Linked DNA regions of Oreochromis niloticus. The protein of the gene in region 1 interacts with the protein of each later gene in a pairwise test. Links are inferred from orthologs where the notes say so. Each region holds a gene or a part of one and is shown in the gene's direction. Other genes may lie near its edges.

Region 1 (7,849 bases):
AACAAAGGAAGTTTGACTTACTTGTTGTACGTCGGAAACCACCGCAAAATACGGACAGTGTCCTCAGCGGCCAGAAGAGAGAAGGATGTGACATGGAGGATGTGGACAAGTGGGTGAAGAATTTGTCTGACAGACAGCTCACCCAAACAGAGAAAAACATCCTTGCTAAAGGGTTGAATTTTGCTGTCACACCGAGACAAATCCTGCTAGTGGAGCTGATCACAGCCACAGAAACAGCAATTCGTAACAACAATATTGCAGAAGTGGAAGCAGAGCAACTATGGACGAAAGTTTCGGCCTGTCTCAGCAATGCAAAGCCACCAGCATCCAACATCACCATGGAGGAGAGGAAGGCACTCACATCACTTAGTGATGACAACAACATTATCATCCTTCCGGCAGACAAGGGTAGGTGCACAGTATTGCTAAACCAGAAAGACTATCATGAGAAGATTTTGTCACTACTCAGTGATGAAAATACTTATGAGCCCCTGAAACGAGAACCAGGAAGTGGCTACAGGAAGAGGGTGATAGACTGTCTGAAACAGTTGGAACAAGACAAGGCTATTGACCGGACCTCATACCACAGGCTATACCCAGGGGAGTCTACACCAAGTCTGTATGGTTTACCGAAAATACATAAACAGGGTGCACCTTTAAGACCGATTGTCTGCATGATCAACTCTGTCACCTATAACATCTCCAAGTTTCTGGCTTTGATCCTCAACCCGCTGGTGGGCAGCTCTGAACACCACATCCAGAACACTCTGGATTTTGTTGAGAAGGTGAGAGATGTCATAATGGAGGCAGATGAAACCATGGTCTCGTACGACGTTACATCTCTCTTCACTTGCATCCCAGTCACGGAAGCGTTGGAGGTAGTCCGTAAGAGATTACAGGATGACACCAACCTCAGCAACAGGACCACTCTCAGCATCGACCAAGTGTGTTTGCTTTTGGAACTGTGTCTTCATTCCACCTACTTCACATACAAGGGTCAGTTCTACAGGCAGAAACATGGGTGTGCCATGGGCTCCCCAGTTTCACCCATCGTGGCCAATTTGTACATGGAAGAAGTGGAAAAGAGGGCTTTGCTATCCTACCCTGGGACACCACTGACAGGGGATTTCTTTAAATCACCCTGCCGTTCTTCAGCTGAGACATCTGATTTAGAAAACACAAACACTGCAGAAGTTTTTCACTCGCAAGGGGCAGTCATGGACGCATGACCTGCGTCTCATCACTGTCTGGGTTCTTTATTTATACAGTTCTGTGTGTGTGTGTATATGTGTGTGTGTGTGTGTGTACAAAAGTAACAACGTCACTCAGAGCAGCGGGTTTTTCCCTTTACATCTAAATGTTCTCTGAAAACAGGAAGCAGTTAGTAGCTGCACACAAGTTACTAGGTGAAAAGTCACATAGACATTTGCTCAGTGATCCTAAAAGAGCACATTTCATGTAGCTGATAACATATACACAATTTTCCTTTGACAACCACCAAGCCATTGGTTCAGATATGTGGATGACACCTGGGTGAAAATCAAATCTCAGGACGTACTACATTTCACGGATCACATTAACTCGGTGGACCGAAACATCAAATTCACCAGGGAGGATATGAAAAGTGGCAGGTTAGCCTTCTTAGACTGTGAGATTTCCATCAGTAATGGGGGACATCTAAAAGCTGACGTGTACCGTAAACCTACACATACGGATCAGTATCTAAGGTTTGACTCTCATCGTCCACTGGAGCACAAACTGGGTGTCATCAGGACGCTACAACACAGAGCGAACACCATCCCCACTGACACAGCGGCCAGGGAGGCAGAAGAACATCACATCAAGAAGGCCCTAAGTAAATGTGGTTATCCCAGCTGGACTTTTGTCAAAGCTGGAAAGGCACCTAAAGAAAGCTCCAGCCGATCCAGGAGAGAAGGACAACCGCTGCCCAAGCGAAAACCTGTAGTGATCCCATATGTGTCAGGAGTATCGGAACAGTTGAGACGCATTTTTTCTAAACACCGGGTCTCTGTGGCTTTTAAACCCCAAAACACGCTGCGCCAAAAATTGGTCCACCCCAAGGATCGGGTCCCCCGACACAAACAGAGTAACATAGTGTACGCTGTTAAGTGCCAGGAGGATTGCCAGGATTTATACATCGGGGGAAACCAAACAACCTCTGGCGAAGCGGATGGCACAACACAGAAGAGCAACCTCGTCAGGCCAGGACTCTGAAGTCTATTTACACCTACAGGCCAGTGGACACTCTTTCAATGATGAGGATGTACACATCCTGGACAGGGAGGAACGCTGGTTTGAGCGCGGAGTGAAGGAGGCCATTTGGTCTTTGATCAGTGGGTTTTGGTCAGTGATTGTTGATCAATGGTCATGAGAATTTGCATAATTATGATTAAGGAACTGACCTCCCAGCCCATTGTTCCTTCAGTGGGCTGGTTTCAGTCATTATGCAAATGTACTTGGGGAAACCTGCAGTCAGCTGAGACTGAAGAAGTCACTTGGATGAGTGGCGAAACGTTTCTCCCACAAAACGCTACGTCCAGATGAACAGAATCAACTTTTGAAGATTAACACGTGCACCTGTATTTGACATTTCTTATTTCAAGAAAACGCAGATAGAAGCAAATTTGGTATAATCTAAAGTTTTTTCCAATGTTTCTTTAATCATTTCAGAAGATGGTAGGGTGAAATACAAGGTCAACTTTAAGGAGAAGGGGAGGAGCCTAGTGTCTGGTCACCACATTGCCTTTGAACACATGCCAAAGGTGAATGAGTTGTTTGTCGGTGCGCGTGTGGTGGTCCAGAGCAAAGACGACCAGTTCGTGCCTGGTTTCATGGCAGAGGTCCCCTGCAGAAAAAACCGCATGAGGTTAGTGTGCTTTACTCTGGTGATAAATTCAGATTGTGAAGGTGGGAAAAGTGTAAAATCACTTTTAATTTTTATATTCCAGGTTCCTGATTTTTACTGATGATCACACTCCAGTGTATGCTGGCTTACGTGCAATGCACATGGTTTGCAAACCGCGTAAGTTCAGGTTATTTATGGTTGTCTGTCTCTGTGTTAGTCCTGTGACAGACTAGCGATCTGTCCAGGTGTACCCCGCCTGTCGTCTTATGACAGCTGGAACACCAGCTGTCATAAGACTGTCGTCAAGTCCATAATATCTAATTTTATAAAATCCAGAATCCCAATTCTTCTATACTCGCTGTCCACAGCAGCTGCTATTATAATACTGCTACTAAGATTTTCCATTTTCTATGACAGTGGAGAACCCTTTGGATGATATCCTAGATGAAAAGCACAAGCTTTTCATGCAGAATTATATAAAGAAGTGGCCTTATCCACCCATGACGCAGTACCACGTCGGACAGACTGTAAACGTGGAACGTAACGGATTTCTGCAGAGGAGTAAAGTACTGGAGATTGACTGCAGTTTGATGGAAGTTGTTTTTTTGGTCTGTTCCACCTTAAGTTGTTCCTTCTTTTTTAAATCCTGTTACATTTATTTCAATTTTGTGACTTACTGTAGTGTTCATTTCATGTTTAGGATGATGATCTTAAGGAGTGGATCCACCGAGGCTCCAATCGCTTGGAACAAATGATTACTGTGAATGAGAATTTAAATAAGACTTAAAAGGAGGACGGGAGGAAGAGTAATACTACCTCAGTCAATGGTAAACTACTTTCGTATGTGGAGAAAAATGATGTTATCCTGGTTATCCCTACTGGCTTACTGGTCTCTCTGTTTCCTTGTTTTGTGTGCTTTAGAGTCATCACCAACATCAAACTGATGGACTGTGAGGATGCTTTAAGTTTGACCTACTGTGCCTTTTTCTTACTCCTGGGGAGAATGCCATCAGATCATGCAGATGCTACTGATACAAATGTATTCATTTTATATTAGTTTTTGTACAGCTGAACGAAAATAACATTTTCTAAGTATGTTCAAAGTTATTACAACGTGTTAAGGTGAAAAAGTGAAAAGGAGGGCATCTCTTATATATGTGTGTGGTTGTAAAGTTTGCAGCTCATTTTGAAGTTGTTTTACCAATAAAATAAATCAAAATGTTTGTAATAAAACTACAACAAATTAAAATCAAAATGTGTGACTTAACATGTAAAAGCTTTTAAAAGCAAGAATGCCGCCATCTGCCTCCATCTCACCTCCAGTATATCCACTATCCTTCCTCTACACATGTCCAAACCATCTCAGCCTTTCCTCCTAAATTTGTCTGAGTCCCTCAGATATACTGACACTAGTTCACTACCCTTTCTCCATAGACATCTGTATACCACCACAGGTATGTCATTTTAAATCAAAGGTTTAAAACAGCAAGTCAAATATTTGGACATGGAGAAAACAAAAGTTAAAAGGTAGCTGATAAAAATCAGCGGTCCATAATTTAATAAGGACTTGTAACGGTTGTAGGTTGGGGTGGTAATTCCTCACTAGTTCCTTGTGGATGTCTACCTTCGAACAGGAGTAGCCACATTTGAGCGCAGGAGGGCGGTACGAGCGCCGAATTGAACCAGTACTAGCTGTACTAAGCAGACAGAAAAAAAACTGGCTAGGTGATAGCAAAAGAGCTTTGAACATCGAGCTGGCGAGAAGGTAGAGGAGAAAAGTGGAACGCCACCACGGATTTTTTGTGGGATAAACGCACAGGGCTCGCTGCTAAAACGGTAAACACCGTGTTTATTTAAATAAGCTACATAGCGATTCTGCAGTTAGCGCGGCTGCTAGCGTAAGTAGCAAGTTAGCTTAACGAACGTAGCTAAGCTAAGATGGCGGTCAAATTATTTACATTAGCTAGTGGCTAGCAGTGCATGCTAATAGATACTACGTCGCTTGTTGATTAGTTACTTCTCTCCAGGCTTTGAAATGTTGGTGCTGTTAGTAAATGTGCTGGACTGTTATAGAAGCTTAATTTTACTAATCCATGCAGAGATTAACGAGCTTAACGGTAATTTTGCTTTACGTTTAACGAGTGTTGCATCGTCTTGGAATGAGTGTAAACAGCATAGGCAACGCTTAATGAGTAGCCACGATCAATTTATTAACTTGGCATTTACTTGTGCTTTCACTCTGCGTTGGATAAAGCTTAACTGAACTCATTTGCCCTAATAATTACTTCTGACTACAGTGCTAATGGCTTTGCAATGGTTTGATGCGCCGCTGTGTCTATTGGGGGTTGTCAAGTTTATTATGGTTATGCAACAGGGTTATTATAGCTATATCATCTCATTTGAACGCTGATCTTCTTTTTTTCAGTATTTTCAGACCCGTTGCAATAGTTTTGCACATAGTTTTAGGTCCGTTGGAAAATTTTGTTGCCTTTTTAGGTATGAAGGAAAGTTGAACTGTTGTTCTGAGGGTGGCCTCCTATATAACCACGTTTACAGAAATGTCTAGTTCTCGGTTAAGGGTAGTTTAATTAAACAGTAAAAATAATATTTACACTTGTCATGCAGTTGAAGGTATGATGCTAAAAGTGTCTGTTTCCAAGTTGACAATAAAGTTTGTTATGAAATTGTCTTTTTACTTTCAATTTAAATTCTTAAAACGTAACGACAGTTAAACCAGGGAACTTGCAGACTCGCGAGACTTTTGGGTTGTGCGGAGTTCAAATTACTTAAGGTTGAATACGTTTTTATTGGCGAAAGGTCAAAAAATAAAAAGGAAAAGGAGTATTGTTCAGTAAGGTAACACAGATTTTTGCTTTGTGAAATCATATGTGGAAAAGCTGTGCTGATGTACATAGTCCTGATTTGAGCCTTTGGGGTAAAACTCTGAACTTTACAGTATTGTTGGGGGGTCTGTAACTACACACTAGAAACGTGCAGGTATTTAGTCCCTCAAATCCCATGAGTTTGGCAGTGATCATCTGCTCCAATAATTTGAATGTAAGGAATGACTTTCCTTAAACATATTTTGGTACTCTGTGCTAATTTGTTTCCTTTTTACACCAGATGCCTCACACAAGACGATACTCGTCCTCGGAAAGAGACAGTCGAGCCAGCTACCAGGATCGTTACAGAGACCGAGACAGAGGGCGACGACATCGACACAGAAGAACGCCGTCTTACTCCTCCAGCAGTGACAGAGAGAGAGACCGAGACAGGAGGGGACGTGGACACAGACAGGAAGGAAGCTATGTACGGTCACGGAGGTGCGTTATGGTCAAATTAGCTTGGGCTTTTACTCTTTCATGTTATATTTACCCCACTTTACTTTATTATTGGTTGCCAGTCCTAAGGTTTCCGTATATTTCTCTGCTCACTTATTCAGTCGCAGCTATGACAATCGCTCAGTGGAACAACGACCGTTTGACAGAAGATACTGCGAGGGATACAGACGGTTTGATCAGAGCAGAGAACGCGACAGAGACAGGGAGCCACACGGAGCAGCCGAGAGTTACTATCCACGTGACTTCTCGCCGAACATGTACGACTACAGACGGGGCCGCGAGAGGGAGCGTGAACGAGAAGAGTCGTATCGGCGGAAAGGCAGCAGGCGTAAGCACAAACGAAGGCGGCGTAGAACCAGGTCCTATAGCGCATCCTCCTCGGTGAGTACAGCCAGACCTGAGTTTGTGCTTTAAGTCCTCATCCTCTACCTCCACCTCCTGTTTCTTTCGCTCAGCTCTCTCTGCCTCTGTCCTGTCCTAACCTTTTCTTTACAGCCCCTAGATTTGGTAAGTAGTAAAACCTTTATGATTTATTTTTGTTCTGTCACAGGGGTTTTATTATATTTGTGAATAGGTGGGTTTGGCTCTAATTGGCTCTTTTTTTCAAAAATTCTTTCTCCTTTTTATGGTAGAGCATTTTCATTTTTATACAGATACCTTTTAGTACTTCAGCCACTATTTTGTCACAGATAATTGTTACTGTAATTTAGTTATTTTACTTTAATTTTTTTTTATTCATAAGAGGGCAGAAAGCCTTGTGATTTTTGTTTTGGCTCTTGCAATTATTATTATTATTTTTTTAATGATGAAAAAGTGAAAATGTTCTGCCAAGCATAGTGCATTAGATTTTTATTAAAATGAGTTAGCTCTGATTATTTCTTTCTGTGTGGGGTGTGGTTAATCACACCTGTTAAGTATTATTATGAACGTAAATGAGGAAAAGGTTTGAATTTGATGTAGTATAACTGTTGGGATTATCTTTAAAGAAGTCCTGCTTGAATGTTTATGGTGTTGTCATTTTATCTTTCATCTTGTTGCAAAGTTTTGAAGTAGTTATGTATATTATTGTTTAATTGGTTGTTGCGTTGATGAATGGATGTGCCAGTTGCTTCCTTGTTTGTAAGCAGCTGTGGTTTAAAGGTAGGGGGGCGGGAGAGGAGCAGAGGACAACATGTGATCTTTGACTTGTTCCCTTGCACTATATCCCTATCGTTATATATTTCCTTCACGTGGTGTCATGCGTGAATCGCCCAATGACCATGAAACCCACCTACAACCACAACTACATCAACTACCACCCTCCTCCTCCCTCCTCATCCACCTGTGCCACCTGACGCCGTGGCTGCGGCTGCCCCTGAAACCCCCCTGTCCCCTTCGGTCGTGTTGTGACCTGCTGATGGCCGTTTGGGTGTGAATACAGCGGAGCAACAGCCGGACGCGTGCACTGAGTGTGAGGGACGACGAGGAAGGGCACCTGATCTGTCGGAGTGGGGACGTCCTGCAAGAGAGATGTACTCACTGCCACTACTCTATCGTAACCCTTCTCCATATGAGTATTAAAGCATAGAGCATTTACATGACATGGGGAGTGCCTGATGATCATGATGATGATGATGCCTTGCTAGAATGCTCTTCGCTCTAG
Region 2 (8,029 bases), on another chromosome or scaffold:
TTATTGGAGTTCATAAACACACCAACACAGTGATGGTTTTTGCAAAGTATGTAGAATCGTCCTTTTTCCTTGTTTGTTTTTTGGCGTGCAACTAATCCTGCAGTGTTTGTCGCAGAAACACTCTGACGACTGCTACAGCATGGGTCTTGGTGTCAAATTTTCAAAATAAAAGCCCCCAGTTTCTTAACGTAAGCTCAATATATTTTAAAATATATCCAGTTTCCAAAATAAAAGCCCCCAGTTAAATACAAAAAGGTATCAGTATGACCATATCTTTACCAGAATGCTTTAAAGTGTCACCTTTTCAGAATTAAGTTAGTTAGCAGATGTTAGAGATGCTTTACACTGAGTTTTTGTTTTTGTTTTTTTTAAAGAAAGTACTTTCCTTCTTAATGTAAGCCTGATATGTTTTTTTTTAATTAAAGCCCCTAGTTCTAGGAAGTTATGAGGACAACAACAGCAGTAGTTGTTTTCCTGAATAAAAGCCCCCAAACAGTTACTGGCTGGTATCAGTGTCTTCCCTAGTAAGTTTTATACTAGTGATCAGAATTAAAGCCTTTGAATTTAATTTTTTTTTTTTTCAGTTTTCTTCTGCTTCAGTAACTATTTCTTTTTTTTAGTCGGCCTATTTATGTACAACTATTTAAGCAGCAAGCAGCCGACCAAGAACAGCAGTACCAACAAATCCAACACTCTTTCTCAACAAATTTTCAGTTTAACTTCAACTGACAGCTGTTCCCCTTCTCCCATTGGGGTTCATTTCATAAATCTCATCTAATAGAAACCAAGATTTAGTAGGAATCACAGGAATCTGTGCTCCTGGTTTGCATGGAATTCTCGAGGATTTTTGTGGTAGGAACATCAATTTTTGTTTATGAGAGACAAGTGGGAACGAAAAGAAAGGATCTGACCTTCTGGCTGTGCTTACGAGACAATCTAATAAAGTCTTAATCAAGTAAACATTTATTTCAGTCACTGGTTTGTTTTTTGGTCAAGAGACTAACATGTGAACTGTGAACCCAGAAGGAGAGAAACTAAGACTGGACAAAAGGGCTATTTTAAAGTCTGATTACATGCTTGATGATCAAAATACTCAAGGCAAAAATGTTTTTAATATTCCCCCTGTGGCGTTTTGCATTGTGGTGAAACATTTACCGAGTTGACAGGCAGCTGAAGTTAATCATTGTCCTATTAACAGTGTTGAAATCGTAGCATAAGAATAATCTATATCTCTGGCCTCTTGTGCTTCAGCTGTTTACTAGTGAACTGCAGATATGTATATTTACTACCAAAAGTCTGCAGTCTTACTTGTGTAAGACAAGTAAGACAACTTTTTGTGATGCATAGTCTGGAGTCTTGCTGCAACAGAGTAGATGGCTTTACACGTGGTTGCCTGGTTGGCAGAGGCGGGATGTAAACAACAACTAAGATGGCATTTAAAAACTTCCCGAGCATGTAATGTGTGTGTAACCTCACAGCTAGCAGTTCAATGTCAGAGCTGCTGAAAGTGTCCTTAATGGTAATGTGACCTGGGTGGCGCAGTTTGTTAATAAAAGCAGCAATCTAGCCAACGCTTTCCTTGTCACTCTGATCTTTTCCTGTTACCAGAAACGCCTGAAAAGCGGTATCAATAGGAGCCAGTAATTCCTCTAGCTCTCTCTGAAACAGTACACACAAGATTTATTGCAGAAGTTTTTTTTTTAACTTGTCCTCATTACTGAGGCAACAGGCTCTCGGGAGTAATAGAAAACAACGTTGTGTAATGTTAGTCTCTGTACTAAAAGGTCTGTTTATAAATTGTAAGTGATAGGAAGTAGCTCCTTAGGCTTGGAAGTTTCAAATTAGCTCTTAAAAATGGATTGCACATTGCCTTTAGAATAATCGGAGCATTTGGAAATTGACTCTTTGAATTGCAAGCAAGAAACGAGATTGTGTTGTGTAGTTTAATATTCCCCCCAAAATGATGTCCAATTATTCAAATATTTGAGATTCATTGTGAAATAGGCTGCTATGAATACATTCATAAACTCAGATGGATTTTAGATCTTACTTAATTTAAACACTATCACTAAGCTGTTTTTTGTTTTTTAGTTGTTTAAATGTGATTATATAAAGGTAAAAAATTTAGAACCCAAGAGGCAGGTTTAGCTGCAACATTGACAACCAAAAAAAGAATTACAAGTCTAAACAAAGTCCAAAAGGCTTGTGCAAACACGACAGTAATCTGGGAGACCACAAGGAGGGACACCAGGTGAAACAGCAGACAGCCTAACCAGTAACACAGGGTGAGACAGGAGTATATACACACAGGGCTAATGGGCACAGGTGAAAATAAATGAAGACAGGTGAACCTAATGAGGGTGGGGCAGGTAATCACAAAGGTGGCAAAGCAACACACAAAGACACAATAACCACTCAAAAAGAGGAAGTGAGTGATAGTGACACAGAGTGAAGAAAAAGGAAATACAGGAGACATGAGAAAGTAGTGCTTTCTAAGACAATAAATGAGATAAATCTTAAAATCTAAATAAAACCTAAACACCATATAAGCCATTCATGAAAGTTTCTTTGACACTGTAGAATTTAACTGATATTCCATGTCCCCATTTGTGCATGTTCTACCCCACCGTCCCACCCCTGCCCACCTGCCTTGGTTGGTGTCCCCCTGGAAGAGGAGGTGGCTGGGGAGAGGGTGTTCTGGCCATCTCTGCTTAAATTGTTACCCCTGTGAACACAACCTAGATACGCAGTGAAAAATAAAAGGAAAGACAGCTATGGTTTAAATCTGTACCCTGCACCACAGAATGGCGTGCACCTTCACAGTAATATAACTACGTGTTTATGCAACATAGACTGCAACAGCCTTGATAGGGCTGTTTGGTAGCATGGTATAACCTCAGTATATTGATTAACACAGGGAGGATACCTCTGTGTAACAAAAGTTGTAACTGTCTCGTGCTTACAGTTATGCTAATAAAATAGCTAGTTTTCTGCATGTGTAGGCATTTTCTCATTTTCACAGTCATAAAAACATGTATCAATGCAGCCTTCCTGCATTTTAGTAAAAGTAACTATTCCTGAAGTTTCATCAGCTCCAGATCCAAACAAAAACTGCTGGTAGAGCAATACACACAGATCAATACACATAAATATATATATAAATACAAAAAATGACATCATCCCTCAGTGAGGATTCAACGCAGTACTAAATCATGCTGAGGTTTAGCCGAGACACCCTTCAGAGAAAGCTGCTCACATTCCTGATCATGTTCTTTTGGTCATAAAAGCATCAACATTCGTTCAATTTCTTTCTTAATCAGTTCAGGGTCTTAGCTGGTCGCCAGTCATTTGGAGAGACAGACAATCATGCACGCTGCCATTTACAACCACGGCCAACTTAGAATCAACAGTGAAGCTAGCATGTATGTGTTTGGACTCATGGAGGAGGCCAGAGTCCCACAGGAAGAACATGTGTTCCAGCTGGGCAGCAGATTCAAACCTAGGCTACAGTTCTGGACACAATGCTATGAGAACCATATTGCTCTCCCTCCCATCATCACAGGTCAAAAATAAAGCAGCTGCTTGATGAAATCTTTATAGCTTCTTCGGCAGATTCGCAATATGTGTTGTTGTCTAATAAACCAATGGATCCATGTGCAGGCCTCAGCTAATAGGGTTAAACTTCTTTGTCATTTGGTGACCAGCTTCCCACTCAAGCTCATAAAGGAAACTTTGAAGTGCTATTTCTATTCATTATTATAAAATATTATTAGTATTACATTACCTTTCAAGTTATTTTTCTTTTTATAATGGAAAGTTAGTGTGGTTGTGCATTATTGGTGTTTGTGTCGCTTACCCACTTAAATCAGCCAGACATTATACTTTAATAAATAGAGCCATGATACATTTTCTTTTATTTTTCACATATACTTCCCAAAGAAGGAATTACTGCTGATGGTCAGCTGTGAATATTCTTTGTCTTATAACTATGTGTTTAGGTTATAGCGGTGACAGGTTCCACACACACGTCATGGTACAGGATTTCTGTTCTGTCACTTCCTGATTTATTTTGTAATCCTTGGACCATGTTCATTCCTGTTAGCTTTGCTTCTGGTCTTGCTTACGTTTCCCTCCAATTTTCCACCACACCTGTCCCCAATCAGATAATCACTCTCCCCAGCATATAAACTCACAGCTTCCCTTCTGGATGGGTTTCTTTTTAAAATAGCTTTTCATGTTTGTGCTTTGTGCCCATTTTTGGGTGAGGGATTAAACATGAGAAGAAGCGGCTATTATGACATTCAGGTATCAATTGCAAAAGAAACTGAGTATGTATGTAAAAGATTGTTGTTGTTGTTTTTTTCTGTGCTCCTCCTCCCAGTCCATTGTGTCCTATAGAAAAGACAAAGGGCGTGAACTACAACTGCGCACTTGCCTCCCCAAATCTAAGTGAAACCACATTTGCGTATGTGCTTTCACACACACTCACACAGACGCACGCGCTCACACAATCAGTACCATACACTCAGTCTCAGTCATGTAAATTGCTGAAGTCAGAGCTGCTTCCCGTTTTTCAGTAGTTCCGGCTTCTCTGTTGCCGTGTTTGGATAGACCGTGCTGAAAAGGAAGTCTACAGAAACTTTGCTCAGGAAGAGAGGGAGAGGAGAAGCGCAAGGAGATCGTACTTTCAGGAGGAGGAGGAGGTTTTCCTACTGTTGTGAAGTTTGCTGCGGGGTCTCTGCCTAAAGCCATGGGGGCGTTTAGAGGTGTTGACAGAACTGGAGGGAGCAGAAAAGTGCTTTGAAAGGCAGACCAGCACGTGTTGTTTTTTATGTTCCATTTTTTTTCCCCCAAGCAGTTTTGCTCTGAGTGAAAGAAGTAAACCGGATCATTTTGTTTTCTCCTGATGGATTTTAGAGGGAAACCCTACACTGCCATAGATTCCTGAGGAACAGACGCCGCACACAAAAACTCTCACACACGTTAGTGGGATGTTATTAGATGCTTGAAGAAACATGGAAGCACTGAGAGAGTCTTTTCTTCATTTGACTTTGCAGATGTCCACATACAGGCGAGCCACCCTGGACGAGGAGGACCTGGTAGACTCCACCAGTGACGATATCTACCCATCAGCTCCCATGCAGGTAAGAAAGCAAATACCTTGGGCTAAAAATAAGAAACAGGTTGGTGCTGGTACTGGATTATTATGAAACATGTGGGTAAGTGTGTAACTGTTGAGGTTTTGCACCTGGTATAAGACGGCAGATTTTCTAAATTTCAATTACAGATGAACCAACAGCAATTTAGGCTTATGATTAGATGTTTTTTGAACCAAGCTGTCCTCATTTAGTGGTTCAATAAAAGCTGCCAAAGTCACTCTAGCAGTAGTGTTAGTTTAACATGTCTATCCATAACTTTAAGATATATAGTACTTAGAAATGTATTCCTATTCTGATTTGTGAAGGAATTTGAAGTCTTCATGTAATTTTGCAATGGCCAAAACTTCTAAATAGAGGCCTCATTCTGAACTGAGCGTGTGCATGAAATAGAAGATTATAAGATTAGTGAGTATATTTGCATGACGGTTGATCGAGAGACGGCCTAACTGCTAGTGAGCTGGGACATATCCTCCCCAGTGTCTGTAGTTCTCAAACTTAATTTGGATCCACTGGATTACTGTTAATAAGTTAAAAAAAGAAGAGAAGACAGTGGGCTTTAAACTTTCTTTTCTTCTGAAGTCACCAGAAAAAGAAAACTGGTCACATCACTTGTGTGGGTTTTTTCCAGTTCTGTCCAGAGACGGTGTTTTGGTTTTTGCTCAGCGGTGGCCGGGGTGCACCCAGCTCTCACCCAGTATCAGCTGGTATTATTCCACTGAAACTGGTTGGATAAGCAGTTAAGAGAAGGAATGAATTGATGGATAAATGCATAGCTGTCATTTATATCATTTTCATACATGTTGGGTGCAGATTGCTGCCTCTGAATTATTTTTATTCATGGTGGGGACAAAATAAAACACCTGTAAAATAAAATTGTCAGTGCTATAACTAAAAACAGTCTATACTGCAAACAATACTGAAATCTGAACTTTACCTTCACTGTTTTGCTTGGCTTTCAGTGTGGCATCAAGCACAATTTAACCATGTCAACAGTAAAAATAATGAATAAAGCTAGCTAAATAAGAGAATTCCCAACAGCATGTACTTGTATTTTACAGGAGCCTTACAGAAACATCCTGGAAATTTTATTCTCTGTAGTAAAACCGATGCAAAAAGCCATCATCAAAATGGACTGTAAGAGTATACTGTTGCTACTGCCCTTTCTCCTATTCATGTATTTGGTTTACAGCATTTTGAGATCATTTTATAACATTTCTGCAATTTGGCAAATATTAATGTTTGGACAAATGTCTTGATTGTTACTTGTATAATTTAAAAAATGATTTGTCTAAGAGACCACAACGCAAAAATATGCCACAAATTCACTTTAGATTTAAAACAGAATGAAATTGGTTGCGTTTTTTTCTCCCCATTGAGATGAAGTTGTCTTTATTTATTTTTTTATGATGGTTTTCACACAAGGAAGTTGTTGCGCACAGACACTGAAGCATTTAAGCATGAAATCCTTTGTATTTTTTCTGCTGTTGAAAGAACACAACATGTATAAAGAATTTCACTGAGACTGTAGATAAAGACCATTTGGCCTGATTCCTTAAGTTAAACAGTACACTGTTCACGTCCATATAGTGCAGACACACACTGCTTTGTGCAGTTCATCCTTCAGTTCATTCATTCTTTAGGTGCTTTATTTAACCAGGATTGAAATGGTGTTCAAACTGTGCCTAGAGTCAAGTATGACTTGTGGGTTTTTTATTTTTGTGAAATGAAATGTAGCTTCCTAAGACTGTGGCAGACTACAGGTGAAAAAGACTTGGCAGTGATTATCCCAGTTATGCTCAGAAATACAGCTCTGGACCAAACCTGCTTAATGCACTAAGGCTTTGGGATTAAGAAGCCGCCTTTGCTTCGATCGCACTTTAATTTGGCTTGTGAAAACGTCTTCTAATAGCAGCAAATCTGATCCCTATATTTATAGTTTGGGCATACCTGGCTTCAACAGTGTAGTGTGTGGAATGAACAAAAGCCACCATTTATTTATAGGAGTCTCATTTAGACTGACCAGAGTTCTTAATGTGTCCATTGAAGGATATGAGTGACTCTTGGAATCAAAGTCTTTGAGCCGCTTTTCAGCAGATCGTTATCGGTAAACTCATCATTTATAGGTGAACCACAAAAGCAGCAGATAAAGTTCAGCGTTGTCTTGTCTTATTTTAGGCCAAAAGTAAACTGTGCTTTTATTAGTAAGGAAACAATGAAAGAATGCTTGACCTTTTTCCATGTATGAGAGCTGAGGAGACTAATGGAGAAGCCATTGTGCTGTGAAACCATACCTGTCATCAAATCCCTGAGAAACTTTGTCTATACACAATATTTTCCAGTTTTTGTTCACAAGTAAATAGACTCATTGTGTGTCATTCATGCAGTAGTGTCTGTGGCTTTGACTTACACAAATCCTTTAGATGGCTTTTTTTATGTGTGCAGGTGAGCCTTCTGCGTGGCCGTTCCTCATGTTGGCCGAGCAGGACACAGACGGAGAGGAGGCTAATGTGCTTGGTGTGTGTTCTGTCAGTGGGCCTGTTCATAACTCTCATCACAACTGGGATTTTCTACAAACAGAGTGAGTTCAAAGTTTTGACACCTCAGTGACATACAGCGAAAAGAACCACCTGTGATTTCTGTGAAATTGACTAATTAAATAGAAAAGCCCACTTCATACCTATAATGGTGCTTTTATCTACAACAAAGGTTCAATAACTATTATTTTTGATCTTTCAGTGATTTTATATTTAATCTTATTCAGTTTTTTTACTGAACTCCATAAAAAAATTAAAGAAGCCTAGCCTGTAATTAACTGATATGCTTAAATTTTAAAATCAGCTGTTTCCAGTAACTAAGAAAATGCAGAAACC

Evidence for each region. The genes of interacting proteins can lie anywhere in the genome.
Region 2: the proteins of clk2a (region 1) and ece1 interact in binary tests that used the Homo sapiens proteins (3 or more experiments, as listed by UniProt). The two-hybrid records come from large-scale screens. The link is inferred for Oreochromis niloticus from reciprocal best matches to the Homo sapiens genes CLK2 and ECE1.

The regions. Positions count from the first base shown.
Region 1 is NC_031985.2:16,846,266-16,854,114, reverse strand, and holds the start of clk2a (dual specificity protein kinase CLK2), read left to right. Parts: upstream 1-4,841; 5' UTR 4,842-4,959; coding exon 4,960-4,983; intron 4,984-5,588; exon of another isoform or gene 5,589-5,722; intron 5,723-5,989; coding exon 5,990-6,189; intron 6,190-6,308; coding exon 6,309-6,588; intron 6,589-7,627; coding exon 7,628-7,718; intron 7,719-7,849. Other genes in the region: histone-lysine N-methyltransferase SETDB1-B, read left to right, coding at 2,692-2,887, 2,970-3,043, 3,284-3,474, 3,567-3,653. UniProt on the Homo sapiens protein: Dual specificity kinase acting on both serine/threonine and tyrosine-containing substrates. Phosphorylates serine- and arginine-rich (SR) proteins of the spliceosomal complex.
Region 2 is NC_031970.2:10,801,009-10,809,037, reverse strand, and holds the start of ece1 (endothelin-converting enzyme 1), read left to right. Parts: upstream 1-5,015; coding exon 5,016-5,144; intron 5,145-7,601; coding exon 7,602-7,737; intron 7,738-8,029. UniProt on the Homo sapiens protein: Converts big endothelin-1 to endothelin-1.